Linked DNA regions of Diceros bicornis minor. The protein of the gene in region 1 binds, or shares a complex with, the protein of each later gene. Links are inferred from orthologs where the notes say so. Each region holds a gene or a part of one and is shown on either strand. Other genes may lie near its edges. The genes, in order: EPS15, AP2A2 and STON2.

Region 1 (10,382 bases):
ATTAAAATCCCCATTTTACAGAGAAGGAAACTAAGACAATTTATGATTTGACTGAGGTTACAGAGTCAATAAGGAGCTGAGCTGAGATTTGAAGTCAAATTTGACTCTAAAGCCCATGCTCTTGTCACCACAATGATTCAAAGATACAGAATCAGAATTCCCCAAACTTTCCTCCTCATTACTTGAATCCTCTCTGTTGACTCTCATGTGTCCTACTTTAGAGCCTGAGGCTGGCAAACAGGACAGCTTTGTTCTTTCTGTAGCCCATCCACTGACTTGCCTTGTGATCTAGGGCAAGCTTCTTATTTTGATGGTGTCTCAGCATTCCCACATGTTAAGCAGGGCTAGTGATTAGTGAGGGAGACAATGCTTTGAAATCTGCAGATGAAAGGACCTACAGCCTTGAGTACAAATATTTTCTTTCCCATGGTGCTCTTTTGGTTTCTGATAGCTTCCAGGACCCTTCATAAGGAAAGAAAAATAAATAAATAAAGGGAAAAGGAAAGAAAATAGGACAAGTGTAAAACTGCATTTGCTTGCTCAGTAGAAGCCAATGCAACTTTTGGGCCATAAATGTAATAATCTCCCTTATTCTATAGAGCTCAATAAATATTACTAATGGGTGAATAAATTTTTTTTCAAAAAACCATTAGAGTAGGCTTTGGTAAATGACTGAAGATCTTTAAAAACGATTCCTGTTTTATTTCTGTCTTCTTAAACCTAAATATTCTCCAGTAGGAAAAAAGGAGCTAACGCTTACCTAGTATCTGCTGTGTGTCAAGTATCAGACTAACTGCTTTCACATGAAACCTCATTTAATCATCATAATAGCATTATCAGGTAGGTGCTATTATTACCGTCAGTTTATAGGAGAGGAAACAACGGCTTGGTATAGTTCATTGACTTGTCTAAGGTCACAAAACCAGGAAGTTGCAGAGCCAAGACTGGACCGAGCTGGGCCTTCCCAGATCTAAATTCAGGCTCTTCCCAAGACACCCTGTTGCCCTAAAAAATTAGTGATGACGACAATTTTGAACTGTCCTATCACACCCTGGGTGTGTGTGGCATTTAAAAATCTCTTACTGCTTGTTCTTTTCAGTCCCTGGCACAAGGACAGTTATTTGTGCAGCACAATTGTTATTATTGTGCAGCCTCACATATTCTTTCTGCCCCGGGCAAACATGAACAATAATGGGCTATATTTATGAAACCAGCAGCTTGGAAGCATGAGCTCCAGATTACCATTACAATTGTAGTATCATTTTTTTTTTTGGGAGCTTAGCACCATTTATGTGGAAGGCCTTTCTCAAAGTCTCATGCAAATAACCTGGTTCTTTGTATATTCAGACAGCTCTTCACAGTTGTTTTTTTTTTTCCATAGTTTCAATTAATCATCCTGCATTTCTAAATGCTGACATCACAGACATGTAGTGTTCATAAAGAGCTGATATGACAGTCACCTCCAAAAGTTGGAAAATAAAGAAATAAAAGTAGCCGTGGTTTCCCATAAGGGTAGGTTGGGAGAGGGAGTGGGAGTTAGAGCAGGATAGAAAGATGGAAAGATAGGCTGTTGACCAAGCTGTTCATGATCTAAGTTCTCCTCTTCAGGATCATCTTTGCATTTATGGTTATTAGAAATCCAGAGCCTCATCTTCAGCTTTCCCTGGTCCAAAGCCCCATTTTATCAAGTCTTCGTGGGGGTGATCAACGTCTGTAGGACTCTAGCAACATGCCCTAGTAAAAAGCACATCTGAGTCAGATCTATGTATAATTCCTAGCCTTGTGACTATGAATTTGGACAAATTCCTCTTCTGTAAAACAAAATTAATAATAATCCCTATAGGGTTGTCAGGAGGATTAAATGAAATAACACATATGAAAGCAGCTAGTGGTGGTTATCAGTATCCAGATTTAAGTCATCAGATACAACTTTACTTACGTAGGGAACATCTACCTTTCCAATGACAGGGATGTGTGTGTCAGCTGTTCAAGGCACTCCTTTCTTATAGCCAATGTATCTGCACAACTGACTTAGCAATTGTAGAGTTGTCTGAGGGGTAGAGAGTTAAATGTTGATCTAGAAGAATGGTGTCCTTATAACTACCACTTATTGAACATCTATTCCAGGCCAGGCTCTATGACAGGACACTCATGCATGATTTCTAGTCCTTACACCATCCTTACAAGGTATTATCATCTCCAATGTACACATGAGGAATATGAGGCTTAGAGACCCAGAGACATTAAATTGCCCTAGAAAAAACAGGTGAGTCATTTTCCTCTGCTTCGTGAAGCTCATTCTTGTTATAACGAATTAGATCATAACATATCTTCTATTAGCTACATTTTACTCTCTCAAACTAGATTTGGGATATGACCCAGTGCTTTGATGAGATCTGGGACATGCATTTGCAATCTGTCATTGGTGTGTCATTAAAAAAACTTCAGTTCCAGAAGGTCTAGGCCTTTTTGGGAGATTGGACCATCACTCCCATCCCCCACTACATGTTAAGTTTCTAATTTAAACCAGAACCAATGAGCAGAGAAAGAAGCCAGTACAAATTATTGGGGGTCTAGAAGGGGGCCTGGGGCAATTCCCATCTAATGATTTTTAGCTAGTCTTCTCTTGCTGAGGAGTCTGATTATCATTACTATTATTTTCAGCAAGGCCCAAACCTGCTTTAAGTGGCCCTTACTTAAACAAGTTATTTATAAAATATTTGTTCCTTGGTTTTCTTATCTGTGAAACGGGGATAAAATGAGGATCCAAAAAATAGCTACACATGAGACTATACATTCAGTTCCGTTCAACAGACTTTTATCATGTACCTATTTGACTCCACGAGTTGTACTAGATGTTGTATGTAAAAACATTTATAAACTGTGAAAAGCAATATTGTATAAATACAACTTGTTTTTAACTTTACATCACACAATAATTATAACAATAACAATTTCTTATATTTCCTCAACATTTTCCACAATGATTTGTTCATTTTTACACATCAGAGACTGAAGTTCAAATGGGTTAAAGAGTTTGTCTGAGATCATACACTAAGTGACTCCAATATTCTCCTTACTACCCCACACTGCCTTTCTAGGAACCTCTGTACACCAGGGACTCCCTCTATTCACCCAAGAGTAATATCTTGTATCTCATATGGTTTGGAGGAGTCTCCTTGAATAGCAAGTGAATTTGTACTCCATTAGCAATTTATTCCATGACTTTCGGATTTCTTAACTAAATTCGTGTATCTACATCTTTAGGTATTTTCATATATGTTATCTCATTCATCCTCAGAACAACCCTAAGGTTGTACAGCTGGTAAATGGTACAGCCGGGATTGGAACCTGGATGTTTCTGTTGTCTAAGCCTTGTTTATTCCACTACACTATACTGCTTTGGTTATTAGCTGTATAACCTTGGGCAAATCACTTAACCTCTATGACCTTCAGTTACCTTATCTGTAAAGTGGGTATGATGATTACTACCTTTCAGTGTTGTTGTGAAGCTCAAATGTGATAATCTAAAATAGGAAAGTCAAGTAGAAACATCAGTTGTGGTTACAGGTGATAAATGTACCAAGGTGGAGTAATTTAAAACAGTATCTCCCCTTCTCCCTTGAGTTAAAAAGAATAACAGCAAAAAGACGCCAAGGGAGACTCTCTTGAATAAGTGGTTGCTCACCAGACCTGCATGTCTGGCTCTTCGTGGCTGGACCTTGTAAAAGGGGTCTAAGTAGAATCATGGGGTTCTGGCGGCATTTCTGGCATGGTTTGCCTGTGGTGGTAAAGGTCTAAAAACTTGGGTGGGGCTAACTCCATCCTGGGCCTAGTTCAGTTGGCCCTCATGGTACGTCAAGTGGGGACTGCTATGATAATGGAAACGGGTGAGGGCCTGATAGAGTTGTGGTTTGTTGTTGTGGGAAGCTACCATGACTGAGAAAGGAAGACCAATTCTTGGCAAAAACACTATTATTTTTTTTTTGGGAGAAAGATCAGCCCTGAGCTAACATCCAAGCTAATCCTCCTCTTTTTTGCTGAGGAAGACCGGCTCTGAGCTAACATCTATTACCAATCCTCCTCCTTCCCCCCCCCCCACAAGCTCCAGTAGATTGTTGTACATCCTTCTAGTTGCTGTGTGTGGGCCACAGCCTCAGCATGGCCGGAGAAGCGGTGTGTCGGTGCGCGCCCGCGATCGGAACCTGGGCCGCCAGTAGTGGAGCGCACGCACTTAACCGCTAAGCCACGGGGCCAGCCGGCAAAAACATTATTGAAGCCTACTCTATGCTAGTCTAAGCTGTGAGAAGGATATAGTAGTGAGTCATCCCCCTGTCCTCAAGGATTCTACAGTTTAGTGGGGTAACGAAAAGCCCTCAACTAACTCGTAGAAACAAGGCAGAGTATAATGAGGATCGTATCAGAACAACTAAGAGGTGAGGTGGGAGTTCCTGGAAGGCTGCTTGAAGTAGGTGGCATATATGCCAAGCCTGTAAAGATGAGAGTTCCAAGTGACTGGTTGGTTAGTCCGACTGCAGATGGCAGCGTGAGAAAGTGTAGGCTGTGTTACGATTAACACAGGCAGAAACTAAGGCCATGGGCCGGCCCTGTGGCTTAGCGGTTAAGTGAGAGCGCTCCGCAGCTGGCGGCCCGGGGTTCGGATCCCCGGTGTGGATCCCGCGTGCGCTCTGAGGCACCGCTTCTCCGGCCATGCTGAGGCCGCGTCCCACATACAGCAAGTAGAAGGGTGTGCAGCTGTGACATACAACTATTTACTGGAGCTTTGGGGGAAAATAATAAATAAAATAAAATAAAAAAAAAAGAAAGAAACTAAGGCCTTTATTGAGTACATGCCACATACTAGGGTCTGAGGATATGGAAATATATCAGAAACAGTCTTTGCCATTGAGGAGCTCTCAGTCTAGAGGGGTAGACAGATGTAAACAGTCATTAAGGTGATAATGACTTCAGAAGGTAGGGAAGAAATGTTAAAAAGAAGAGGAGAGTGTGTGACTGACTTGGGGAGGTCGGGAGATGCTTTGCAAAGGGAATGATACTTGAGTTGTTCCTTGACAAAGTAGGAGGAGTTTGCCAGGTGAACTGTGGGAGCAGTTAGGAGTGCTGCAGGCACCTGAGCAGGTCCCAGTGCTCTTTTTTTAAAAAATTTTTTATGAGGGGACTAGCCCTGAGGTAACATCCGATGCCAATCCTCCCCTTTTTTCTTGGAGGAAGATAGGCTCTGAGCTAACTCGGTGTCTATCTTCCTCTACTTTATATGGGACGCCGCCACAGCATGGCTTAAGCGGTGCGTCATGCGTACCTGGGATCCGAACCTGCTAACTAACCCCGGGCTGCGCGGAAGGGGAGCGCGCCTACTTAACCGGTTGCGTCACCGGGCTGCCCCCCCGCCCTCGGTTCTTTTGGCAGGCGGCAAGCAGGCAAGGAAAGTATTTCTTCTCTCTCTCACCTAGATTTTTGGCTCCTGGAGGAAATGACTTTTTCAATATCACACCCTAATAGCAGATGGTTAAATGAAAGGTTTTGGAGTCAGACCTGGATTCTAATCCGGCTATCTAATAAACCGTATGACCTAATCTGTGTTTTAGTTTCCTCATTTGTACAATTTATTTGTGTTTCAATTCCTTCCATTCATACAATTCAAAAGTAAAGCGTGTAGCACAGAGCCTGCCATAAAGTCCTTTTATTATTTTCTATCATTATCTCATTTAATCCTCACAAGCATCCTGGACTTTCGGTATAATTTCCCCCACTTGGCAGAGGCAGAAGTTTAGAGTAGGTAGGTGACCTGCCTAAAGTTCACAGGACAATCCAGAGTCGCCTCCGCCTCCGCAGCCAGTCCGCCCTAATTGGACGTCCGCGCCGGGTTTTCCCAGGCTGCCCCAGGGGACAAGCTCCGGTCCGGCGGCGGAAACGCCGGCGCCAGAATTTGGGCGCCGCCGCGGCCTGCGCCGGGCGGGCGGGCGGGGCCAGGAGGGGCGAGGCGGGGCGGGCGAGAGGAGGGAAGTTGTCGAAGTTAAGGGAGACGCCCGCCCGCTCGCCCGGGCCTCGCCTCCGGCCGCTCCCTCCGCCTCCTCCCCGCCCCGAGCCCCCGTCCGCCCGTCCTTCCTTCCCCTGCCGTGCATGATGGAAACACCATGGCTGCGGCGGCCCAGCTCTCCCTGACACAGGTAACGCCGCCCGCCCGCCCGCCGGGCTCGCTCGGCCGCTGTCCCCGGCCCGGCCCCCTCCCCCACCGCCTGCGGTTCACCGACCCGAGCGGGTTCTCTCGGCCCGGGCGGGGCGGCCGGTAGTGAGAGCGAGAGCGTGCGTGTGACTGAGGGAGGGCGCCATCCCGAGCCGGCAGCTGCGCCGCGGCAGCCGCGACCCCGCCCGGGTCGGGGGCGCCCCCGGCCCTGGCGCCCCACAGCTGAGTGCCGCGTGCCCCGGGGTCCCCGCTCCGCTCCACTTAGTTTTCCCCCACCCAGGAAGTTTCCTGATCCCAGGCCCGCACCCCAGGTGAGCTGTGGAGCTCGCGCGGAGCAGCCTCACCCGCGGGTCAGCCCTCGCCCCGCACGAGGCTCGCCCTCCGGGCCGGGCAGCGCGCTTCCCCCGGTGAGAGTCACCCTCCCGAGCCAGACGCTCAGGGCCCCCTCTTTCCTGTCTAAACCGGCCTTTTCCCCCTGGAGTTCAACGAAAGCCCTGCCTTCCCCAGCAGTTTCCTCCAGGCGCCTCTCGTCCAGGAAAGTCTCATCTCACCCAGGTACTTCCCTGCTAGCTCTTTCCCGAATTGAGCCTCTTCTCCTGATCAGGTTTCCTTCTGGGTCAGACCCCCTATTAGTTTTTTCCTACTCAAGTTTGCTTTCACGCCCACCCGGTGGACTCGCACTTGATCGCTATCCAAGCGGATAACAGGGAAACATCCTTTAACAGGTGTGATGGTTCCACCGGTCTTGGGGCTGGGAACGACCGTAGAGATCACTCGTCCTGGGGGAATCTTCACCAGAATCTGTTCTCGGGGTTTCCTGTTGCTTCCTTCAGAGTCCAGTCCTTGTGCTTCCCAGGAAGCCTCTCTACATCACTCGCTCTGGGAGCCTCGTTCCTCCCTCCCTGCAAAGAAAGCCCAGTACAATCTTCCCATGATGTCCAGGGTGATAAGGAGTCCCCGTCAGTCCCTTGCCGCTTCTCTGACCAAACTCACCCCAGCCTCTCACTTTCTCATCCTCTTTTTTCCACAGCTGGTGGCCATGTACTTCCCTGTTTGGGCCCACCCCAACCTTCCTGCCTGCCTGGTAGTATCTCTCTGCCCCTTTGTAGTCTCTTTGGCCTGGATTTGTCAGTGCTTTAAGGCTTTAACAGTGGGATAGGGTATACATTTGGGTCATAGAGTTGTCTGTGTTAGGATCAAGAGGCTTTGGGGAGGTTCACCTAGCACTCTAGGATAGGGAGACTGAGTGAAAAATGTTCTCCCCAGAAACCAGGAGTCACAGTTAAACATGTGCCTCAGGTGAAATAGCTAACTTGAGTTTGCAGGAATTATCAGACTCATAAGTGGAGTCTATTTTGCAGTTTGTTTGGTGTTGCTTATCCTCTTTTGACAAGCAGGTAAGGGGGAAGAATTCTTGGAATGTGGTGTTGGTTGTGAATCTCTTTGGAAGGGTCCCTCCTGAAACTCAAGTTGGAGGAATGGGAACACTGACTTTTGGGTGTTCACTTTACGAGTCTAGTTAGTGACTTGCATTAAATAAGATCCCTTTGGCAGGCTGTTGCTGTCTGGCTCTGTTGGTCAGTTGGGCAGGAGTTTTCCCTTCTTGAAGATTTTGTTCTCTTGAAGACTTTTGTAGATTTGCTTCTTAGTTGTGTGCATAAATTCTCTGGGTAATACTGTGTTTTTAGTTTCTAATTACTGTCATTTATCTCTGGAGATTTTCTTCAGGCTCTGTCAGTTTTATAGACAGTTAAATAATTTAAATATATTCCTGTGGTTATGTATTAACATGTACAGAGTAAATACTGAATCAGGAGTATTATCATTAAATGTCTCACATATGAGAGAACATACCTTGATGGTTCATTTATATTAATAATTCAAAAAGTCAATTTAAAATATTTTGACTTTAAGACATTAAGAGGAAATAAGATATATTGTAAAGGCACAGGAAAAACAACCTTTCCAAGTGTTACTATACTATAATATGCCTCGTTATTTTAAAATTTTGTTGATTTGTGTTTTTTTACTTTAATTTTTTAAATTAAAAAATTTTTAAATTAAAAAATTTGTTTGAGGCAAATAAACTGAGATAGCAATGCAACCTGGTTTCACATTCGTTATTGATCTGTGTTTGTCGCGCTGCGGCCGCGCCCTCCCCCCCCCTCCGGTTCCAACAAATACCCTTAGACATAGGCATACTTAAGTGAGAGATCCTCCAGGGCAGGGACCCCTTTTAATTCATCTCTCTCCCGTCAGTGCCCATCTGGAAGAAAGTGATTAATGACTTTGTCTTATGATTGACTGAAAATTTTAAAGGGCTCTATGACAGTTAGAAAGATTAAACAGATGCTGAAGTTAGTTTCTGCCTCTGGTCATGAGATAATGATGGTTTTGGAGTAGGTTCATTCATTCAGCAAGTATTTGTTAAGGACCGATTATGTGCTAGGCGCTGTGCTGGGATTGTCTTGTTGATGATTTTTTGTTTTTATTAAGCAAAACTGACAGTTGGGGGAAAAATGTGAAAATATTTTAATTTACTCCTTCCTTCCTCTGCCTGCCAGTCAACCCTCCAACTCCCCAACCACCAAAGTAAATTATCTAAATTTTCATATTCTAGCTTCTAGAGAGGATAGAACACTAGAGAAATGAAATGTTAGTTCCAGCCCCAGCTTTGCCAAGAGCTAACTGTATGGCATGGAGTTAAATCTCCAGGCCTCAGTTTTCTTAACTTTTAATATTCATTCAACAGATATTTGTTGAGCATTCTTCATGTGCTAGGCATTATTCTAGGAACTAAGGATATAGTAATAAACAAAATAGATACCAGTTCTTAGAGCTTGGAGGCAAACAAAACATGAAGCTTACATTCTAGTAGCTGATTCAAGGACCTTTCCAACTAACATTCCTTCTTATAGATCATATTCTATAATTTGTAGATCTGTTGGTGACTTTGCTGTGTACCCTTACTGTTTTCTAATTTCAGTTGTCTTCACTAGATGTTCTGTTTTCTTCTTGTCAGTAAGAAGTAAAACTTGAGTGAGAACGATCTTGTGATTTTTGCTTATGGTGGTAGATTACAAAAAAGATATTAATACTTTTTAAACTTTTCCAATTGCCTATTTCTTCCTCAAGCTTAATAATAACAATAATACTGTTAGCTTCTCTTTGGGAGTTACTCTCTGCCAGGAATTGTACTTCACTTAATCTAACACTCCATTTTGCAAATGGGGGAAGTAATTTACATAAACCAGTAAGTGGTAAATCTAAAATTTGAACCAAGGTCTGTAGGTCTTCAAGAGCTATTTCACTGTACTTCTCTGTGTACTAGATGCTTGGCATATCCAGTGCTCCCTTGAATTTTTGATTCTCTTTTTCAGTATATGCCCTGTTGTCCTAATTAGGTAGTAGACTTCTTGAGGATAGAAGCCATATCTTTTGCTTGAGTCTCCAATGCCTTTCATGGTATCTTAACAATACAGTTGTTTGTGTGCAAGTAGAGCTCTTGATGATGATAAAGGTTTTATTTTATTGAAATATGGCATGATATAAGTTTTTAAAATAATCTTCCAGCAGCTTTATGCTGAACTTTTGTTTTAATTAGCAAGGATTCTTTTTTTTAATAATGAAAAAGCCGTTAGAATGGGACTTAATTTTAAAAATCTTAGTATATGGTCTGAAACAATACTATAAGAATACATTTCCTTTTAACCTTTTTTTAATTCTTTTTTCTTTTTTTGTGAGGAAGATCAACCCTGAGCTAACATCCATGCCAATCCTCCTCTAAAATTTTGCCCAGGAAGACTGGCCCTGGGCTAACATCTGTGCCTATCTTCCTCCACTTTATATGGGACACCGCCACAGCATGACGTGACAAGTTGTGCCTCGGTGCGCGCCCGGGCAGCCAACAGCGGAGCGTGGGCACTTAACTGCTACGCCATGGGGCTGGCCCCAACCCTTTTTTTAAATTGCAAGAGTGATATAACTGCATTACAGAAAATTTGGAAATTGGAGGAAAAATGTCCCATAATTTCACAGTTTCTGGTGTTTATTTTCAATTTCATTAAAAAAAAGTACACAATGTGTGTTAATAAATGTTTTTCACCTTAGTGATCTGGTTTAACAATTATGACAGTAAATATAGGGTGGAGTATGAAAATTACAACATGTTCTCAGA
Region 2 (10,544 bases), on another chromosome or scaffold:
AGGTCTGGCCTCCCCTCTCACTGTGTACAGTGGACACTGGAGGACAGCAAGGGCGGGGACAGGCCCCATAGAGTGAGGGGGCCTGCAGAGACAAGCCCTCCTTCTGCCAGCTGAATCTCCTCATGCTCTGGGGACACCTGCAGGACCACAGTGCCCTACCCCAGGTGCACTCTGGCCAGCTGAGGGTCCCCAGCCTGAGGCTGCCTTTCCGGGACAGCCTTGAGGGCATCCCTGAGTTATTATGGGGAGCACATTATATGGCCAACACCCCAAGAGCACTCACATCTGGTTGTTGGGTGTGCTTGGTGGCTGTGGGGTTTCTGAGGGCTGGGCTTGTGTCTCCCCTGGCTGGGCAATGCTCCGCAGATGGAGTGAGGGTGGGGTCCCTGGCCTCGTAGGCAGCACTGGGCCTCTGCTCATTTGCTGAGTCAGCACAAGGCAAGGCCCTTCCTGGCAGGGCCAACTCGTGACTCGTCCTGTATTAACAGGGTGGCCTCGGCTGGGGGTTGTCCCAAGGGCAGGGCCCAGGAGGCCACTATCACTGACTGTGTCCTATCACTACTGGGCCTTGAAACATTCCTGTCTGGAGGCCGGAAGCCCAGGAAGAGGGATACACATCAGGATTTCCTGCTGCTGAGCCTTCCCTTTGCTTGTGGCTGGAGACATCCTCCCTGGGTGCTGGATAAGCAAAGTCCAGAGCAAGAAGAGAGAGGGAGCGGGGCATGCTCACGTGCAGCAGAAGCTTCCGGCTATAGCTCCAGAGCCAGCACAGCAGATTTTCTGTCTGTGTCCCATGTGTGGGGGCCCCCCGCCCGTCTGGCCTTGGCCAGGGTGACGGCTATGCCTTGGGCACCATGTGCTGTCTGGCATGTAGGTGTCTGGTCAGTGGCTGGGCAGGTGCTGGGCCCTGAGGTGGGTGTCTGCGAGAGGCAGGTGGCCCTGCACAGGGCTGTGTGCTTTGTGGCATCAGTCATGGCTTTTATGCTTCTCACAACACACCACCCACCTTATAATACCCCTATAACAAAGCAGAGGGGCAGTATATGTGTTGATGAGGCCAAAGGGACAGCATTTCTTGGAGGCTGTAGTGGGGCGAATGGTGGACCCCAAAAGGTTGTCCATGTCCTAACCCCCAGCACCTGTGAAGGTGACCTTATTTGGAAATAGAGTGTCTGCAGATGTAATTAAGGATCTCGGGATGAGATCATCCTGAATTGAGGATGAGCCCTAAATCCAGTGACTGGGATCCTTCTAAGAGGAAGGAGAGGGAGATTTGAGACACCCAGACACAAGGGAGAAGGGCAGGAAAGATGGAGACAGAGACTGGGGCCATGCAGCCCCAAACCAAGGATGCTGGCAGTCACCAGAAGCCAGAAGAGAGGCAAGGAACAGTCTCCCTCAGAGCCTCCAGGGGGATCCAACACTGCCGACACCTTGATCTTGGACTTCCAGCCTCCACAACTGTGAGAGAATTGATTTCTGTTGTTTTTAAGTCACCATTTTGTGGTAATTTGTTACGGCAGCCCCAGGAAACTACTACAGTCGTGCTGAAAGGCCTGAACTGATATTTTTAGCTATATTTTCTTTCCTAAAGCTATTTTTCTCAGGCTAATCTTAAAATTGGCATATATTCCATCAGCTCACCCTGGCTGGGCTCTTAGAGGAAGGAGCTGTGGTGGGTGGATGTTGGCCTGGGATGGAAGCCCTTGCCACAAAACACCCAAAACCACGAGGTCTGTTCAGTGATGGACAGCGGGCTGGCTGCTGGCATGGCTGGTCTAGCCTTTAAGGTCAAGGGGTGTATTTTTCAACAGGTAACTTAGGGAGACTGGAGGTCATGAGTCCCTGCTCTAGGGGTGAATAGGATGCCTGATCTGGCAGCATGGCGGGGGAGGGCAGCAGAATTTTCATAGCCGTCTCCTCCACCCCTCCCCAGGTGTCACCCGCTACATTCCTCCTTGTTAAGCCCCTTTGAGCCCTGGTGGGTGGATGCAAAGTGGTCTTGATGACAAGCCACAAGATAGGATAGGAGGGCATCCTGACATGCCCCAGGCCCCTAGAGGCCCAGAAACTTCAATGACCAGCACCCTTGGGCATGGGAATAGGTATTAATTAGGATTTAGGTGTGGCAGTGTGCAACAGAGCCCCTAGCCACAACCAACCCCACAGTGGAGGGTGTGGTGCTCATCCTCACAGTTCGAGACAGAGCTCCAACTACCAAAACCCTGTTCCAAGGAGGTAGGATGGAAAAGGGGCTGGACTCAAAATCAGGTCCCCAGATGCGCTCACGTCACCATCTGTTATGGCATGAACTGTGTCGCGTAAAAGTTCACATGTGGAAGTCCTCACCCCAGCACCTCAGAATGGGACCTACTTTGGGTCATTGCAGGTGTAATTAATCAAGATGAGGTCATACTGGGGTAGGGTGGGCCCCTAATCCAAAATGACTGGTGTCTTGGTAAAAAGGGGAAACTTGGACAGAGAGAGAGAGATGTGCACAGAGGGAAGACGGTGTGAAGGGACACAGGGAGAAGACGGCCATCTACACTCCAAGGTGCGAGGCCTCAGAACGAACCATCCTTGCCCACACCTTGATCACAGACTTCCAGCCTCCAGGACTGGGAGAGAATAAATCTCTGAATTCCTTTCTCTGCATTATATCCAGGAATTTCTGCCATCTCAACCTTGTTTTAACATGTGCCGCCCTGAGTCCAGCTTCCAGGCAGTTGGCTGCCCGAGCTGGTTCAGCTGACCCAGATTGCTGGGTGCCCCATGGGACAGATCTGTTGTCCCAGGCCTGCTCTCTCGGAAGCCATCCTATGTAAATGCTGCAGAGCTCTGCCGACATAAACTCAACTGCCTGCAGTTCTCATGGCAGCTAAGCCTTCCCCATCTGTGTGTGATTTTGTGTTGGGACCTGACCCTCCCAGGTCTCAAGGGATGGGGCCAGGCCAGTGGTCTTTAAAGGGAACTGACTTTTCTCTTACAAAGCAACTCCTTCAAGGGATGTCATTACAGGGTCTTCAAGTATGGGGACAACTTTGTCCAATGGGGAAAAGGGGCTGTGGAGGCTGGCCAGGGGGCTCTTGCCTCTTGGAGCAGAGTTGGGGTCCCCCAGTCTGTCCCACGTACACCATCCCAGTTCTCCTGGCCCCACGCATGCCCCGCCAGCACTCTAGCTTTCCCGTAAGACATTTGAGGAGGCCATAGATTCAACTTCTGTGGCTATTTCGCAACAATCCAAATTCTACTGTGTGTGGCCGTGGGCTCAGTTTTGTGGCTGTCAGAGATGAGATCTGCAGTCAGGCAGCTTCCTGCCACCCTGAGATGAGCAGTTAGGACTTTGAGCTCATCACTCTCCTTCTTCAGTGGTCCTGCTTCATTCGAAAATGAACCCGCCACAGGGGGCCGGCCCCTGGCTTAGCGGTTAATTGCGCGCGCTCTGCTGCTGGCGGCCCGGGTTCGGATCTGGACATGCACCGACGCACCGCTTGTCCGGCCATGTTGAGGCGGCCTCCCACGTACAGCAACTAGAGGGATGTGCAACTATGACGTACAACTATCTTCTGGGGCTTTGGGGAGAAAAGGGGAAAAAAAAGGAGGAGGATTGGCAATAGATGTTAGCTCAGGGCCGATCTTCCTGAGCAAAAAGAGGAGGATTGGCATGGATGTTAGCTCAGGGCTGATCTTCCTCACACACGCAAAAAAGGAAAATGAACCCACCACAGATTCTTGAATTCCTCATGCTCTGCACACCATCCACAGCAGGGGACGTGCTCAGTCTCCGGAGCCTGGCCTTCCCCAAGCATGTCATTCCTGGCGACCACAGGTAGCCATGGAGCACCAAAGACTGTCACATCCCTGTCCCTGAACACACATGGGTGCTCAGAGCCTCTAGCCACGCTTAGACCAGGCTGCCAACCCCAATTTTCTGGAAGAGTCATTGTCTGCGACCCACTCCAGAGATTATGGGAAGGAAACTGGGTCACTTGTAAAACTGACAGGAGGCCTGAGCAGGCTCAGGTCTGGGTAGGAGTGGAGACACAGCCAGCTAACGCTTCAGGATGCCCCAGACACCGTGGCCTCGTGCGCTGTAGGCTCTGGGCTCCCCAGCCTTCGTTTTCTCCTTCGTGATTCAAGTGTTAGGCTTTAGTGTGTGGGGCTCTCACCTCCCAATGCTCACGGATGGAGAAAAGAGAATCTCGGCTCCACCCCTGCCCTTGGGAACAGTGCTGTGACCACGAGTGGCTAAAACGTGACAGATGCCTAGTTCAGGCAACTTAAGAAATGAAACTGTTTCCAAGCACTGCACACTGCTAGAGGCAGCCTGTCCCTCACTGAGGAGTGGCCGTGGTCAGGGAGGGCCGCGTTGACAGAAGCCCGAAGCCTGATGGTAATAAGCGACCTGAAGGGCTTGCATGTCTGGGAAGGTTAAGGCACCGATGGGAGGCAAGGGGTCTTTTGCATGGTGGCCTGTGTGTCTCATCAGGCTTTGGGGACCTGCCCACCACCCCTACACTTGTGGGAATCCCAGGAGGCTTGGGAGGCCCAGGCAGCACTGAGAGGAGGTGGGATGCCCACTTAGCTCCAAGCTCTTCCTTCGAGACACCCTCCATCTCAGGCTGAGCTGGGCCCTGTCCGTCCACAGGTGGGCCCTGCAGCCTCCAGGCATTGCCCTGTCGTGTGAGTGGCTGTTGGGGGTGGGTCGGGGTCTCCTTGTCTGAATCCCCTGGGCTGGCTGTGGGAGGGCTACTTCCTGGCATGGGGATTCTGGCCCTGGGGGTCTCCCCTCCTCCAGGATGCCTTCTGCTGGCCCAGCTCTTTGGAAGGTCTTGGAAAGTGGCGAAATTGCTGCCTTATAAGGATTTGGGTCTCCACGGGCTGTGGTTTCCCCCAGGGGTCCCGGAGGCCCAGAACCTGGGTGAGGTGTCTGGGTGGGGTGCCTGGTCTGTGGGAGGGGCCCACCCAGGCCTGACCTCTCACTGGGAACTGAGGAAGTGAGCCAGGGTGGGACAGCCGTCTTGCTCGTGGGTCTGGGCCAGCTCTAGGTACAGGGCCTGGATAACCCCGATGAGGAGGGAGCTTCCTCTTCAAAGCCATCTGGCTTCATATAGTTCAGCTCGGCAGGGCCGCCTGCTCTGCAAACAGAATCCCTAGGGGTCTGCCCCAGGCCAAGGCCCCTGCAGTGCTCTGCGGGGTGGGCGCACAGGGGCCATCCTCTGCCTCCACCTTGCTGGGAGAGGCGGTGGTGGCAACAGTGTTAAAGGCCCTGGTTGGGCATTGAGGGATCAGATTCTAGTCTGGGCCCTGCGGTCATCTGATGCCAGGGCTGGAGGTGGGCAGTGTTTTCTCTTCAGGCTTTAGCCTCCCCCTTTGTAAAGAAGGGGCTGGCTCTGGACAGCCCAGGTGATGTGCACAGGCCCTCAGAGCTCTGGACACAGACCGGCCCCCAACACCGGCAGCAAGCTGCCCTAGGACCCTGGCTAGGCAGGGTCGTGGGGTCCCTGGCTGGGCAGGGCCGTGGGGGCCCCTGGGCTGGGCAGGATCGTTGGGGCCCCCAGCTGGGCAGGCCGCCAGGGACCGCGGGACGCGAACCCGTGGATCCCAGCGCTGCCCCGCCCGGGCATCGGCCTGCAGGGGGCGCCCCCGCGCAGTCCTTCACGCGCCCGCCCTCGACGTGCTCGCCCCCGCGCCGCGGCCGCGCGCGCGCTTCCTCTCGCCCCGCCCGTCCCGGCCGCCGTCTCTCGCCGCGCGCGCGAGCGTGCGCGTGCGCGTGTCTGCGAGCGTACGTGCGTGCGCGCGCGCGCGGCGGCGGCCCCGAAGCGGTGCTGGGGGCCTGAGGCGGCTCCGGCTGAGGCGGCTCCTCGGGCGGCGGCGGCTGCTCCCCGCTCGTCGTCCTCCTCCCGGGCCCGCCAGCGCGGGCGCTCCCCGGGGCCAAGATGCCGGCCGTGTCGAAGGGGGACGGGATGCGGGGCCTGGCGGTCTTCATCTCGGACATCCGCAACTGTGAGTGGCCGCGGCGCGGGGCCGGCCTGCGGGGGCGGGGGCCGGGGTGCGGGCGGGGGTCCCGGGTGCATGCGGGGGTCCGGGGCGCGGGGCGCGGACCTGGCGGGCCGGGCGGGGTGCGGGCGGGGGCCGGGGGTGCGGGGCGGGGGTCCCGGGGTGCGGCGAGGCCCGGCGGCGGCGGGGGCGGCGGGGGCGGGGTGCGGGGCGGCGGCGCGGCCGAGGGGCTCCGCGGAGACGCCCCTCCCCGCATGATGTCATCCCGGGCCGTCTCCGTCTTTCTGGTAATGGAGCATTTAACCCAGCCTTTCCCGGGTTTTCCTTTGGGGTGGGAGCAGCGGAACGGGGTCCTGCGGGGACGCGGCCCGGGGCCCGGTTCTGCGGCGCGTTGCGCCGCGAATGCAGTGACTCATTCATTCCCCGAGGGGCCGGGCGCGGGCGGTGGGGCGCGGGGCGGCCTCGCGGGCAGCGGTGCCCGCCGCGTCCCGTCGGGGAGGCCTTCTCAGCGGCACGCGTGTTCCCTCAGGGTGGAAGAATGCTTGCCAGAAGGTGGATCGGGCCCCGGGGTACGGTTGGCCCACCAGGAAATATGGCTTTGGTGTGCAGACACTCCTGTTGGTTTTCAGAAATGTTCTCTTTATTTAATTAGAAAAATGAACACCGAGCCCGTTTCCTGTCTGGTGTGTTTTATTCTTTCCCTGTTACCCCCCAGATCGGTGGCTCTGATGTTTGTCTCCCGCCTTAGGTTTGATGTCTATTTAGAAGAATGTTTGTAGCCTCGCCTACTGGTGAATGCTGTTTGCTGAGCCTTCCCCTGAACCCCTCACCTCCCTGGACTGGGGTGGAGAACCCGGACCGTGGAAGTTGAGACCCTCTGGCCCTTCCCTTACTCTGCAAGAAATCAGTGTAGGAACACACCCTCAGATCAGGGCTTTTACAAGTGGGGCAGTATTCTCCTTTTTTTCTTCCTTTACTATGGAATGTAATTTTCGAGACGATAGTTTTTATACTCACAGTGCATCTTGCAGAGCTAAGTGTGTGCGTGCTACTGCTTAGCAGCCTTCAATTATCTATGACGTCTGTCCTTCCATTTTGGAGGAAAACTGCATTGGGCAAGGCATTGAGATTGAAACCCATTTTCTCAGACAGCCAGTTACCCATGTATTAGACGTGTGTTCTGTGCTGGGTCTGTGTTTCACTGGAAGGGGCCTGCCGCATAGTGAGGACTCACAGACACTTGTTGACTGACTGTGGAGATGGGACATTCTCCACCCCCGCGCTGACATTTGGGTCTGATCTTTCTTTGTTGTGTGGAGCTGTCCTGTGGTTAGCAGCGTCCCTGGTCCCTACCTGCTGGATGCCTCAGTTGTGACAACCAGAAAGGTTTTCAGACGTTGCCCTGCGGGGCAGAATTGCTCCCAGTTGAGAGCCATTGGTGTAGATCAGTGAACAAGACAATCTCTCCCCTGAAGGAACGTATGTAAGAAGAAGCAGTGCGTGGTCCTTCTTGGCCAGCTTTCTGTTTGTTACAGCCCCTTCCTGAGAAACACCTTTGCAGCCTCAATGTCCGGCTCCCCCTCACCTGTAGCTCTGCAGAGCAGTGTCGTCAGCTTGTGGTGCTCTGCCCCACTGCACTGTAAGCTCTGCAAGGTGGGGACCACGTCTGTCTTGCTCGTCACGTCACTCCGCCCCTGCTCACACAGCGTCTGGCACGAGACACATGCTGAGTGAATGAATAGATGGGTGAGCCAGAGAAGACTTCATCTAGGAGGTGATTCTTAGGCCAATTTTATGTCAAGGGCACTGCAGGCAGAGGGCTAAGATGTGTGAGGAACAGCAGAGAATTAACATTCTAAGCAAGTGTGGGCCGGTGGCTAGAGATGGGTTTGGAAAGTGAACCCCAGCCAGAGCTGGTCTGAGCTTGACCCCTGTGTGGCAGGGAGAGGTGTCCTTGCTTCCCCTTTCACTGCCTGTCCCTGATTGTGTGCTTACTGTTTTCTTGTTGTGAGGGTGATCGATGGAGCCAGGCTCTGGAGACAGAACACTGAGCTGGCAGCAGGGGGTTGCACTCCGACAGCCTCTCACTGGCTCCATGACTGGAACCCGCCGGCCACTGAGCCTCAGTTTCCTCAACTGACAGAGAGGGGTGGATTTTGAGCTGAGGTATCACTATAGTCTGTTTCAGCTCTAAATTGCAGCTCCCTTTTTACCTTTCTAAGCTAGTTTCTTAAGTTTCCCCCTTTAAGACCTTCTAAGAGCATGCTCTGCATTTATTTGCACTTCAAGTTAGTAATCCGTTCCCAGCTTACTGGCTGGGAATGTTACTCCTCTTAGAACAGGCAGCAATGAACATGCTCCAGGATTTGAAAAGGTGCCTGTGCCATGCCTTTCTGCTTAAGCCTGTAGCTTTTGTGGCTCAGGTAGTGAACTAATTCAGTGCCTTGTAGAATTAACTTGATCCTTTCTGATTAACTTCAGCCCAGGGGTCACTGAATTCCGCTAATGTGAGTTCAGCGTGTGGGAGTTAGTAAACTGTTTCTCTCTCTCTCTTTTTTAATTGGTATTAAAAAAAATTCTAATCCTTTTATTTAGTCCCAGTTTTAAAATAATTCTTTATTTTGAAATAAATATAGGTTCATAGGAAGTTGCAAAGAAAGGGACAGGAAGGTCCCAGCAGCCTTCACCCCGCCTCCTCTAAGGTGGACGTCTCACATAACAGTCCAGTTTCAACACCAGGAAGCTGACATTGGTACAGTCCACTGGGCATATTCATATTTCACCAGTTTTACATGCACTGACGAGTGTGTGTAGGTCTTTGTACTTTTATCACGTGTAGCTTTGTGTAACCCCCACCTCAATCAAGATAACAGCACAGCCCACTTGTGCTACCCTGTATAGCCAAACCTACTTCCCCCAACCGCTAATCTGTTCTCCATCTGTTCTCTATCTACATAACATCTCAAGGATGTTGTGTGAATGGAGTTGTATACAGTAGTTTCTCCTTTTCTGCGGGGCGGGGGATACATTCCAAGACCCCTGGTGGATGTCTGCAACCACGGATAGTAGCGAACCCTGTATATACTGTGTTTTTTCCTATACATACATAACTGTGATAAAGTTTAATTTATAAATTAGGCACAGTAAGAGATTAACAACAGTAAATAATATTAGAACAATTATAACAACATACTGTGATGAAAGTTACTGTAGATTTTAGCAACCTCGGCATATGATTTTATTTCTTATTAAGTAGAGAACTTTCACCTTTTCACTTAAAGGAAGCATTTTAACGGCTTCTGTTTGGCATATCTGAATTGCCAGCATCCCTACTCTTGCACTTTGGGGCCATTATTAAGTAAACTGAGGGTTACTTGAATACAAGCATACCACGATACCACAACAGCCTGATGACTGGGACTAATGGGCGGGTAGTGTATACAGCATGGATTTGCTAGACAAGGGGATGATTCAGAGGGTGTGCAATTTAAAACTTGTGAATTGTTTATTTCTGGAATTTTCCATTTAATACTTGAGGACCACGGTTGACGGCAGGTAACTGAAACATGGAAAGGTGAGACCGCGGATAAGGGGGAACTACTGTAGTATGTGACCTGTTGAGATTGGCCTTTCTCACTCAGCACAGTCACCTTGACATCCATCCAGTCTATTGCATTGATTGACATTATATTCAGGCAGTCGATTCAAAGAAAACGAAAGAACTGCTGAAATTGGGAAAATAATAGTTATTTGCTGTTTATTCAGTTATTTTGGAACTTTTGTTTGCTTTTATGCATGTGATTATCAGTGAAGGAGAGTCATATATAACTTAATTAACATGTCTTTATGCCAACACTAGAATATTGTAGAGAACATAAAACTGCTGAAAATATTGTCAGACTCAGAATTGACTGCAAAATAATCAGGACTACTATGAAAGGGGAGAAGAGATAGGTGGTTATTCTTGTGAGACCAGTCACGTGGCCAGTGGGCAGGAAATTGCCATTTATTCCTCCTTGCACATGGTGGTGGGCATTGGGGCTATGCAGATGAGTCAAGACACTTCCATGGTGCTTGGAGGCATTTTATTTAATCACTCCTGGCACTCACTCAAATGAGGGGAACAAGTGGAGAGATGCAATTAGCCATTTGGCAAAAATCGAATTTCCCATGTTCTTGGAGAAAGCATGCAATTTTTCTGCAGGCGCATTGATAAACTCCTAGAATAATTATCACTGCTCTGCTCATTGTGGTTCTCACAAAACTTGGTCCTTTCTGTTAACTTGGTTGAAATTGGGCACCCCTTTGAATTATATTTTAGCATGACTAAAGTTTAAAAAATTTTATTTGTTCATAAAATTCCACTTGTAATGAGTCATAAATTGGACAAGGAGAAACTGAACATAAAAATTTAAATTCAGCTTAAACTTCAGTATAAAAATTAAGTGTAAAGTTGGTACTACTTGATTTTCCTGTGTGGTAATAAAGATCAGAATCAGAGTTTGTCAGTCTATTTTTTAACTTTTAAGGTTCTTAAAAAAATT
Region 3 (9,667 bases), on another chromosome or scaffold:
AGTTCAAACTTTTGCCATATCCAGGATTGAGAAAAATACAGTAAAAGAAAACAAACCCTATGTTTCATTTCTTGTGTCATGTTGTACATGCCAACATATTTTCTCCTTAACGTCCATTCTTGGAATGTTCTCTCATGACAGGAGCGGTGAGTCACCGTTAAGGAATTGTTGCGACTTGCTCCACCCATTAATAAAGCCACACCATGGGCAATCTTGGGTTCTCAGGGAGTTATTTATCTTGGGGGAGGGGGGGCTTGATCACAATTTGCATGATCACATGGTACAGATGTTTATGCATGAAGGTGACCTCAAATGAGGTGAGAAATTTCTTGGTCTGACTACTTTAAAATTCAGCCAATGTCCACCCAGTGAGCAAACCCAGCTCCAGAACAATTTAAAACTGGGATGACAAGAAGTGTGATGGATCAGGACTGGAATACACTGACAGGCTTGAGGAGAGGTCTGGAGCGAGGCAAAAGGGTATGTGCTCAATGACAGGATGGGGAGTCAGGGCAGAATTAGAGAGGGAGGGGATAAAGCAGCGCTTGTATGCTTCTCACTTGTATGAATCCGGGATATTTTTCATTTCCTCACTATGAGAATTACATCTGTAATTTAATATAAACCTAGAGACTCTTCCAGTCTCTCTTCCAGACCCCACTGCTCATGGCCAGAGTCAGCTTTCAGCAAAACTGCCACAGGGAGAATGCTTGGACCTTCCAGACTTTTCCCTCCTTCCCTTAGGCCCTTCTATTTAGTTCTTCCCCTCCACCATGTCTTAATTTCTCCCTTTAGTTCAGTGGTTTTCCAAGTGTGGTCTTTGGACCGGCAGCATCAGCATCACCTGAGCACTTGTCAGAAATGCTAATTCCCAGGCCCACCCCAGACTTACTGATTCAGAAACTCTGGCGGTAGGGCCCAGAAATCTGTGCTTCCTCAAGCCCTCCAGGTAATTCTGATGCACACTGAAGTTTGAGAACCACTGCTTTACGTATTAAAAAACGATAACTTTAAGATGAGAGAGTCTGTGCATTTTGGGAGAAGACAGAAAAAACACAAGTCACTCAAGTGCCTAGTGAATCATTTTCTAGTAGTGGAATCTCAAGTCACGTGACAGTGAGAGAGAGAGATTTGCAGCTGCTCTATTAGTTCAGACCCCCATCATCTCTTGCCTTCAGTCTCATCTATTTCAATCTCCCCACATTGCCACTAGGGATGTGTGCTCGGCCTGAAAATCTGACCAACCGTGTCAAACCCCACTTCAAATCCTTCAGTGGCTGCTCCTTGCCCATAGGATAAAGTTCAACTTCCCTGGCACACGACCCAGGGCTCTTCATCATCTGCCTTTGGGAGGCCTCCCTGGCCTTGTTTCCTTCTGCACCTTCCCTCCTACTTGGCCATACCTCACTGCCTTTAGGAGGCTTATACCTCTCCACACTACTGATATAACGTTTGGCCACGTGACTTACCCCCGCCAACAGCACGAGAGCTGAAGTGACCTCTGCTACTTCTTTTTTTTTTTTTAAAGATTTTATTTATTTATTTTTCCCCCCAAAGCCCCAGTAGATAGTTGTATGCCATAGCTGCACATCCTTCTAGTTGCTGTATGTGGGACTCGGCCTCAGGATGGACGGAGAAGTGGTGCCTCGGTGCGCGCCCGGGATCCGAACCCGGGCCACCAGCATCGGAGCGCGCGCACTTAACCACCAAGCCACGGGGCCGGCCCTCCTCTGCTACTTCTAAGCAGACGTTAAGTGCCATAGTTTTCTTCTGTCATGTTCTCTTTTTTCCCTTTCCCATAAATGAGATCAGTCTTGTCCCAGAAAGAGGTTGTTTCTCAAGCCTTAGTGGGTCCCAGAATGAAGACAGATGAGGAGCAGAACCAAAAGCAACCTACACTGGACACACAGCATACATGAGAAATAAATCTTGGTGGCTGAAAGCCACTGAGATTCGGGGGTTATTTTGCCTACGATGACTATTATAGCACTTTTGATCTCCCAGATCCTCTGGAATGTCTTCTCCCCTCTGCTCTACCTTTCTTGCAAACCCACCTAAAGCCTGTCTGCACAAGAGACTTGCTCATCATTCTACACTCAGCTCAGATTGAGTGGTATCCCCTCAATCAAGTCTTTTTTCTTTCCCAGGTATAACTGATCACTCCCACCTTCTGGACCTCCTCTGGATGTTACAGATCTGTAACTATGTCCCTGGAACTGTGCTAGGGGCTTTCCATTCATTAGCACCACCCTCAGAACAACACCTCTAAAAAACCTTTTTTGAGTCTTCATTTTACAGAGAGACTTTGGCTCAGAAAAACACAGCAATTTGTTGAAGTTTCCCAACCATCAGCCACAGGGACAGAGCTCTCACCAGGTATGGATCTGGCTCTGAACTCAGCCATCTTTCCCCTGCCCCACATGCCTTTCTCCCTCCTCCAGCAGGAAGCTTCCAGACCCTCCCACTCTGGTGGAGAGAGTAAGTCTCCTTATCAACAACTGAAAGGGCTGCTGAGTTAATTTGACACTTGAAAGATTTGCATCTGGAAGTGGGCTTCTTACCCCCTGAGAAGATAATCACTTTCTCTAAGTGGATGCACTTATTCTAAGGCTCCTGGCAAATGCACTTGGAGACCCTAGGAGAACTAGGGCATTTGCTCTGTGCGCTTTTCCCACGTCCCAAGCTATGGGGGTAGTGTAGTGTGAAAAGACAGACAGATTCCTGCTGACGTCGCCCTATACAACCTTCGGGAAGGTCCTTTTGGGTTTGTCACAGGGTACGAGGTAAGTAGCAGATGGTTCAGAACTCCAAGCAGGTCTGCTACATATGATATTTTATTTAGATTTCAAAAAGAAAACTGAATGGGGCCAAATGTTTATTGGACTCTTCAGATTAAACAAGAAAAGTGACACAGTGGCAAAGAATTGAACCAGACCACCCAGGTCAGACACAGGAAAAACCGCTTAAAGTGGGAACTGCAATTTTAGGTTTCCACGAGCTGCTGGCATTTTGTTGTGTGGTTGAGTTTTTGTTTTTCCTTTTTTCTCTCTCACTTTTTAAACTTTACTTGTTTGTTTAAGGGAGGAGTAGACGATATAAGAACCTTCCAATATTTCCCCCCAAATCAGCCATACTAATGAAAGACAAGCATTCAACAAAGTACCACGATATTCTTTTCAAACAACATTCATATCAATTTTTTCAAGGGTTACAAAGCTTTTCTCAGCTATGAGTTGGAATCCATTATCTCTCACTATGCCAATGGAGCAGGTTTTTAGCCTTCAAAGGATATATTACCTTTAAATGATACCGTCAGTAACATTAATAATAGTATTTCCTTTCAAGTGTAGAAAGCTGTTCAGAGCTCCAAATGGTTGCTGGGCCAGTTTGGACACGTCTGATTTACCCTTTAAAAGACCTCCCACTCCGTAGAGTAAATAATAAGAGCCAGCCTTTATTGAGCACTTAGCGCTGTCCCGGTGTTTTTCAGGCACTGGCTCATTTAATCCTCAAAACAACGCTACCAGGCAGGTAAAAAGCATTATCGCCACACTCCAGATGAGGAGAGTGAGGCGCAGAGAGCATGAAGGACCTGCCTAAGAGAGAGAGAGACAGGCAGTGGCCGGTGCTGCACAAGACCACAGTTAATGATTCACTCACAGCCCTCAGGCAGCTCCTTTCAGTAGGGGCTGCACCACACACACACACACACACACACACACACACACTTCAACTCTCTCCATCCCGGCGAGAGGCGGGCGTCCAGCAAATTGCTTGGCAACGCGCATTTGCAACTCCATCCAAAGCCCGGGTCCGCCGGGTCCAGGCCGCCTCTGAGCGCTGTCCAGCGGGCAGCGCGCCTGAGAGGCCAGGCTGGAGTCCTGTCTCCGGACACCCCGAAGGTGGGGCAGGACGCCAAAGCCCCGATTTCAGGTACGGGGGGAAAGGCGCCGTCCCCAGGGACACCTGTTGCCCGCTCCCACTCGGGGCAATGAAGACGTCCCGGGGACCCAGATCAAGGGGAAGACACCCGTTGGCAGTGTCTATGCATGGGTGCGGGGCTCGCAGGTGTCTTCTCCCACCCCAGCCCCGCCCGCCCGACGCGGACTCACCCCCCCCTTCCCACTCTCGGACGCCCGCGGCTTGTGGAAACGTCGCGCCTCCCCGGGCTCCCACCGAGGCAGGCGCGGGGGCCGCGAGCGGCTCGGGGCAGCACCCGCGGCGCTAGGACCTCGCGGCCGGCCCGCCCCCCGCCCGCTCCACCTGCGGGCCCCTCCGGCGGGGCACGCTCGCCCTCCCGCTGCGGCACGGGGGCGCCGTTACCTGCGACGCCGCCGGCAGGGTCCCGAGTGCCGGCCAGAAGGTCGCCGCGGCACAGCCGGCTGGGCTGGTCCGGGAGCCCCCCGGCCGCCGCGCTCCCGCCACGCTCCCTCCCGGCCGCGGTGCAGCCGCCGGCTCCCGACTCCGGGCTCGCTCTGCGCCCGCGGGCTCCGGGCGCCGCTCCCGCCGCTCCTGATTGGCCGCCGCGCGCGCCCGAGCCGCGCCCTGATTGGGCAGCCGGCAGCCGGGGCGGGGAGACGGGCCGGGCGCGCCTGGAGCTGCTCCCCGCGCCCCGGGCGCCGCAGCCTCGCGTCCCTGCTGCATCCCGGGGCCGCGATGCAGACGCTGAAACCCGGATCCTGCCCCTCTGCGCCGAGTGGAGCCGGCGGTCCAGGCACGGGGCGGAGCGGAAAGCGTCGCTGCGAGCAGCACGGGGGTAGCGGGGAGTGGGGCTCGCTTTGGAGTCTCTCCCACACCCCCGTGGCAAGGCTAGCCGGCGGGGATCGTTGCTTCTCCGGCCTCACTCCTACATGGGATTTTGACTTCGTGTTCATTTTGATACTTTTACTGTATAAAGAGCTTAGGGACGCAGGGCAGTGGTTTGTAAACAGTGGGTGCCAAATTGTGCTTGTAGACTCAGACTGCACTTTACGCACCATCTCTATGTGGTCCAACCGGAGCTTGAAAAGGGGAAGTGATTTGTCCAAGGTCCTAATCACGTTAACAAACGATTAAGAACGAGAAAGATAGTGAGATCTTCATTTACAAGGAACTTAAGACCTAGCTAGGGAGATGAAGCTGAATAATAATAATAACTCTAACGTTTCCATGGTGCACTTTATTTGTTGGACACTTTTCCAAGTGCTTTGCATATATTAATTCAGAAATACACGAAACAGCTGTCATAAGCGTGTCCGTAAGTCCTGAGAAACGTGTGGACAAGCGACATCGGTTTGGAGTATGGAGAGATTTTCATCTGGAAGACACAAGCAGGGGCTGGCCCCGGGGCTGAGTCGTTAAAATGTCGGGCACTCCAATTGGGTGGCCTGGGTTCGTGGTTTGGAACCCAGACGCAGACATACGCCACTCGTCAAGCCATGCTGTGGCGGCAACCCACATACAAAATAGAGGAAGATTGGCACAGATGTTAGCTCAGGACTAATCTTCCTCAAGAAAAAAAAAAAGACACACTGAGTCTATACTGTGATAAAGAGGGACAAGTTAGAATGGAGAAGGGTTGTCAGGAATTAAAATTGTTCCCATTTTCCATCTCTTCTCCCATAGTCTTTAGTCCTCCCAACATTTTCTTCCACCTGCACCGAACCTTTCTAAAGAATAGAAACAAATACTGTGAATCAGAATGCCACCAGACCTTTTTCTACCACTCATAAAAGGACTCCCCTCTAAACACCCAGATAGACAATGAATAGAAACAAATAACACAGTTTATGTTTTAGAACTATGGAGTTTGGTTGCACTAACGTGTTGAAAGCAAGTACATAAGCATTTTCCTACAGATATTTCCTCCTGGTTCTATTCTCCTATGTTGACAGAACCTTTGATCAAGAAACTTAGCTTGGTAGAGAAGTAGTTAAAGACCCTAATGAAAACCAGCTTGACCCACTCTGAACAGCCTGATTTTTGCCCTAGAGTGAGATTAAAGTCATTTATTTTGAAGAGCCCAAGACCCTAGGAGGAAATTAGCTCAGTTTTCCCCAGTTCATATCAATGGGCAACCAATCGATCCACTCTCTATTGAAAAGATGGACTAGGCATGGGTGGGGCCTCACCTGGTAGGGACACCAGAGCACAACAGACTGTGTGAGGAAGGTTCTTCACCAGCGTCCCTCTCCAAGCATCAGAAGCACATGGAGACATCAGCCCATCACTCCGGTTGCTCACTTTCCATAGCTGTGGCTTTTGCCAAAGCGGAAGCTCCATTTGGATTGGTCACAGTATCCCTCCAAAGAAGAAAGGCTCTTTCAGCCAGAGAACTAGGCTGACCCAAGATGATTTCTTAAATAGATAGACCCTGGTCACATTACACTAAACTCTGCTGTCTGGAAGGACAAGAAGAGAAAGAAGAATCTGGATCCCACCATATCCACTCTGGAATCTTCGAGAACTGTTTATGTATCCTTCTATCTCCTGTCTCATCTAGCAAAATGATTTGCTTAGCTCTGTCTCCTGTATCACATTTCTTCTCTGGCGACTCCTACTTAGCACTCAAGACTCAACTGGAATATCCCTTCCTCCATGAGGCCTTCACTAACTCTCCCGGGCAAAGGTAGCGATCCCACTGCCTATGTTATATCCCCATTACAGCATTGTAGTGATCGGTTTACATGACTATCCACCCAACTAGTTATCCCCAGTGCCTGGCCTATAAATGGAAGGTAAAAGGTACTCAATAAACATGAACTGATTGACTAAAATCGCTGACAGGCTAATAGGGTGGCATTAAGGAGACTGGGGCCACACCCCTATCCTGGTCAACAGGACATCCTCCAGTTCCAGGCTGGGTGGACATTTGGTGTGGGTCAAGGTAATCATCCATCCAATCCAATAGTGAATAGGTAGTTTCTGTATGTCAGGTACTGTCAGAGAAAGAGAAGAATAATTCTCCCTTAAATGTACACAAGATAAAATGGTGCAGCTGATTTAGAAAACAGTTTGGCATTTCCTCAAAGAGTTAAACGGAGTTACCATATGATGTAGTAATTCCGTTCCTAGGTATATACTCAGGAGAATTAAAAAACATATGCCCACACAAAAACTTGTACATGAATGTTCATAGCAGCATTATTCATAATAGCTGAGAAGTGCAAACAACGTAAATATCCATCAACTGACAGATGGATAGACAAAATGTGGTACATCCATATGATGAAATATTATTCAGCCACGAAAAGGAATGAGTAGTGATACATGCTACAATGTGGATGAACCCTGGAAACATTATGATCAGAGAAAGAAGCCAGACACAAAAGGCAACATATTGTGTGAGTCCATTTAGATGAAATATCCAGAATAGGCAAATCTATAGAGACAGAAAGCAGATTAGTGGTTTCCAAGGGGTCATGGGAAGGAAAAATGGGGAATGACTGCCTAATGAATATGGGACTTCCTTTTGGGGTGATGAAAATGTTCTGGAATTAGATAGTGGGTATGGTTGCACAACTTCGTGAATATCCTAAAAACCACCAAATTATAAATATATATATATATATATATATATATATATGTCCACAGCATGCATTCTGAGAGTGTGGCAACTATCAATGAATGAAATGTTAAACTCTAAAGTATAGTAGCTGAAAGTGTGGAAAAACAGAAAATCCTTAGAAAACAATTAAAAATCAGCTTGTCTCCCCCTCATGCTCCCGCCTTCAACAACCCAGAGAAGACTTACTCCTTGATCTGCATTGTCCAATTGAACATTCTATGATGATGGAAATGTTCTCTATCTGAGCTATTTAATATGGAAGCCACTAGGCACACGTGGCTGTTGGACACTTGAAATGTGGTTGGCGCAACTGAAGAACTGAATTTTAAATGGTATTTAAATTTAAATAGCTACTCTACTGGCAAGGTAGCTTTTGACGGTTTCGAGGACTAGAGCCATCTTAACTGGCAGTTTGGAACAATACCGGAGGGCATGGGAGCGGGAGAGTCTATGTCTTTATGTCCCACAGCCCAGCTCGACTCTGTACCCACTAGAAATCCTTCAATAAGATCTCACTGGTCCCACCTTCTCCCTTCTATGAACTCTTAATGAACTTTGTCAATGATACAGTGCTTAGTTTTGTTTTTATGGCAAGGTGTTTCCATTCCACAAATATCTGTGGACCAAGCACTGTGTGGACTTCTGGGAAGAAAAAGGATTGAAGACAATGTCAGCCAAATTCCAAAGGGTTGGTTCTGACAAGGCTGAGAGGGAGAAGGGACAAGAGAAATCCCTTACAAGGACCTGGTTCCTTCCCTCCAACATCCCCCGCTCACACACACACACACACACACGTACTCTTCCGAGTGGGAAATCTTGCTATTAAGATGCTGAAGTGATGGTGAAGAATCTTTATTTAGATTTCCTGTTTCCAATTCAACCCCAGAAATGTCCTTAACTCCTTCAATACACCTTTCAGTTCATGTTGATCTTTCCCTTCTATGAACTTGCACTGAACTTGAAATCGATAGAATGTAATGACTTTCTAAGTGTTCTTCTGTAATGTGGTGTCCCCACAGCAAGATTCATTTGTTGCACAAATGTTTATTGAACTCCTGCTTATTTTTGTGCCAGAACAGTCCTAGGGACTGTGGATAAAAAGAATGAAAGACAGGGTCACTGGACAACTTAGAGGCTAATGAAGAGGCACACAAAGGAACCGTTTGACAGAGTTTGGGTTAGATGTGTAGGAAGGTTCACTGAAAGCGCAGGCCAAGGAGCACCTGGGTGTACACAGAGAAGTCAGGGAAGGCTTCTCAGAGGAGGTGACATTTGAACTGAAGGAACTTGGAGGGTAAGAGTTTTTAAAACATTTTTAAAAAATTAATTCATTTATACTGTCCACCTTCCAAAATTGGATTTGAGGTAGCATGTCAGGAGAAGTTTGGGGACAAATGTTCAAAAGATTGTATTAACATCAAGGTCCAGCTCAACATATGTGACAACATCTTGCATTGCTGATGAGGGTACTAACTGGACAGTCACTCTTGCTGCCCTCAAGGCCTATTCCTGAGAGTAAAACAAAATAAATACAAGACTCTCTGATCCCAAGGAGTTTAAAATCTCTCAACCATACTATTTCAATACTCTTTTTACTGGTCTCTTGTGTTTTTTCTTATTTTCTTCTATTCCAATGTGTCCCAAATTTCAGTCATCTGTGTCCCACCATCACCATTCTTACCATATCCATGTATCACCTGCACTATTATGTACTTAATTGTTTCTTTGCTCAGCTTTATTGAAAAGGAATTTTCATATGATTATCAACAAGGAAAAACCAGTATCACTTGCCATAAACAGAACGTTAGCCACAAAAATCATACAATGAAAATAAAACCACAATATCTAATCTTAGCTGGATATTTTTTTGTTGGCTGCTGAAAGTTTTGAGTTTGAGGCTCTGTTCTTTCTTTGATAAAAAGGAAGATTATCAAGGCTTGGAGGGATATTAAAGACACACTGGCACCAAACTGATCATTTTTCCTTGGCTGAATCAAACATACTGAAGGAGAATTGAGAAAAGGATAACTCTCTCACTCCGTGAGCCAATGAAATTTAATGCCCCTACTGCATTCCACTTAGAACCAGCTTCTGCATCAAGTTAAAATCAGGTCATCCTGG

Evidence for each region.
Region 2: the proteins of EPS15 (region 1) and AP2A2 are in contact, whole or in part, in a crystal structure (PDB 1KYU), measured with the Mus musculus proteins. The link is inferred for Diceros bicornis minor from reciprocal best matches to the Homo sapiens genes EPS15 and AP2A2. Residues at the interface, in NP_031969.1 of Mus musculus: Asp629, Pro630, Phe631, Lys632; in XP_006536218.1 of Mus musculus: Phe442, Phe443, Trp446, Lys447, Asp487, Pro488, Val494, Arg511.
Region 3: the proteins of EPS15 (region 1) and STON2 are in contact, whole or in part, in an NMR structure (PDB 2JXC), measured with the Homo sapiens proteins. The link is inferred for Diceros bicornis minor from reciprocal best matches to the Homo sapiens genes EPS15 and STON2. Residues at the interface, in NP_001972.1 of Homo sapiens: Leu139, Gly148, Lys152, Pro153, Val154, Leu155, Leu156, Asn157, Ser158, Lys159, Val162, Asp163, Leu165, Gly166, Arg167, Trp169, Glu170, His176, Gly178, Met189, Val192, Tyr193, Leu196, Glu197, Lys198; in NP_001353779.1 of Homo sapiens: Trp309, Arg310, Ala311, Thr312, Asn313, Pro314, Phe315, Glu318, Gln321, Asp322, Gln324, Pro325, Ser326, Ile328, Asn329, Pro330, Phe331, Phe334, Phe335, Glu337, Gln338, Glu339, Arg340.

What each region holds. Positions count from the first base shown.
Region 1 is NC_080752.1:13,901,371-13,911,752, reverse strand, and holds the start of EPS15 (epidermal growth factor receptor substrate 15), read left to right. Parts: upstream 1-6,085; 5' UTR 6,086-6,155; coding exon 6,156-6,188; intron 6,189-10,382. UniProt on the Homo sapiens protein: Involved in cell growth regulation. May be involved in the regulation of mitogenic signals and control of cell proliferation. Involved in the internalization of ligand-inducible receptors of the receptor tyrosine kinase (RTK) type, in particular EGFR.
Region 2 is NC_080770.1:1,112,091-1,122,634, reverse strand, and holds the start of AP2A2 (AP-2 complex subunit alpha-2), read left to right. Parts: upstream 1-5,853; 5' UTR 5,854-5,939; coding exon 5,940-6,006; intron 6,007-10,544. UniProt on the Homo sapiens protein: Component of the adaptor protein complex 2 (AP-2). Adaptor protein complexes function in protein transport via transport vesicles in different membrane traffic pathways.
Region 3 is NC_080763.1:28,751,008-28,760,674, forward strand, and holds the start of STON2 (stonin-2), read right to left. Parts: upstream 4,399-9,667; 5' UTR 4,324-4,398; intron 4,129-4,323; exon of another isoform or gene 4,113-4,128; intron 1-4,112. UniProt on the Homo sapiens protein: Adapter protein involved in endocytic machinery. Involved in the synaptic vesicle recycling. May facilitate clathrin-coated vesicle uncoating.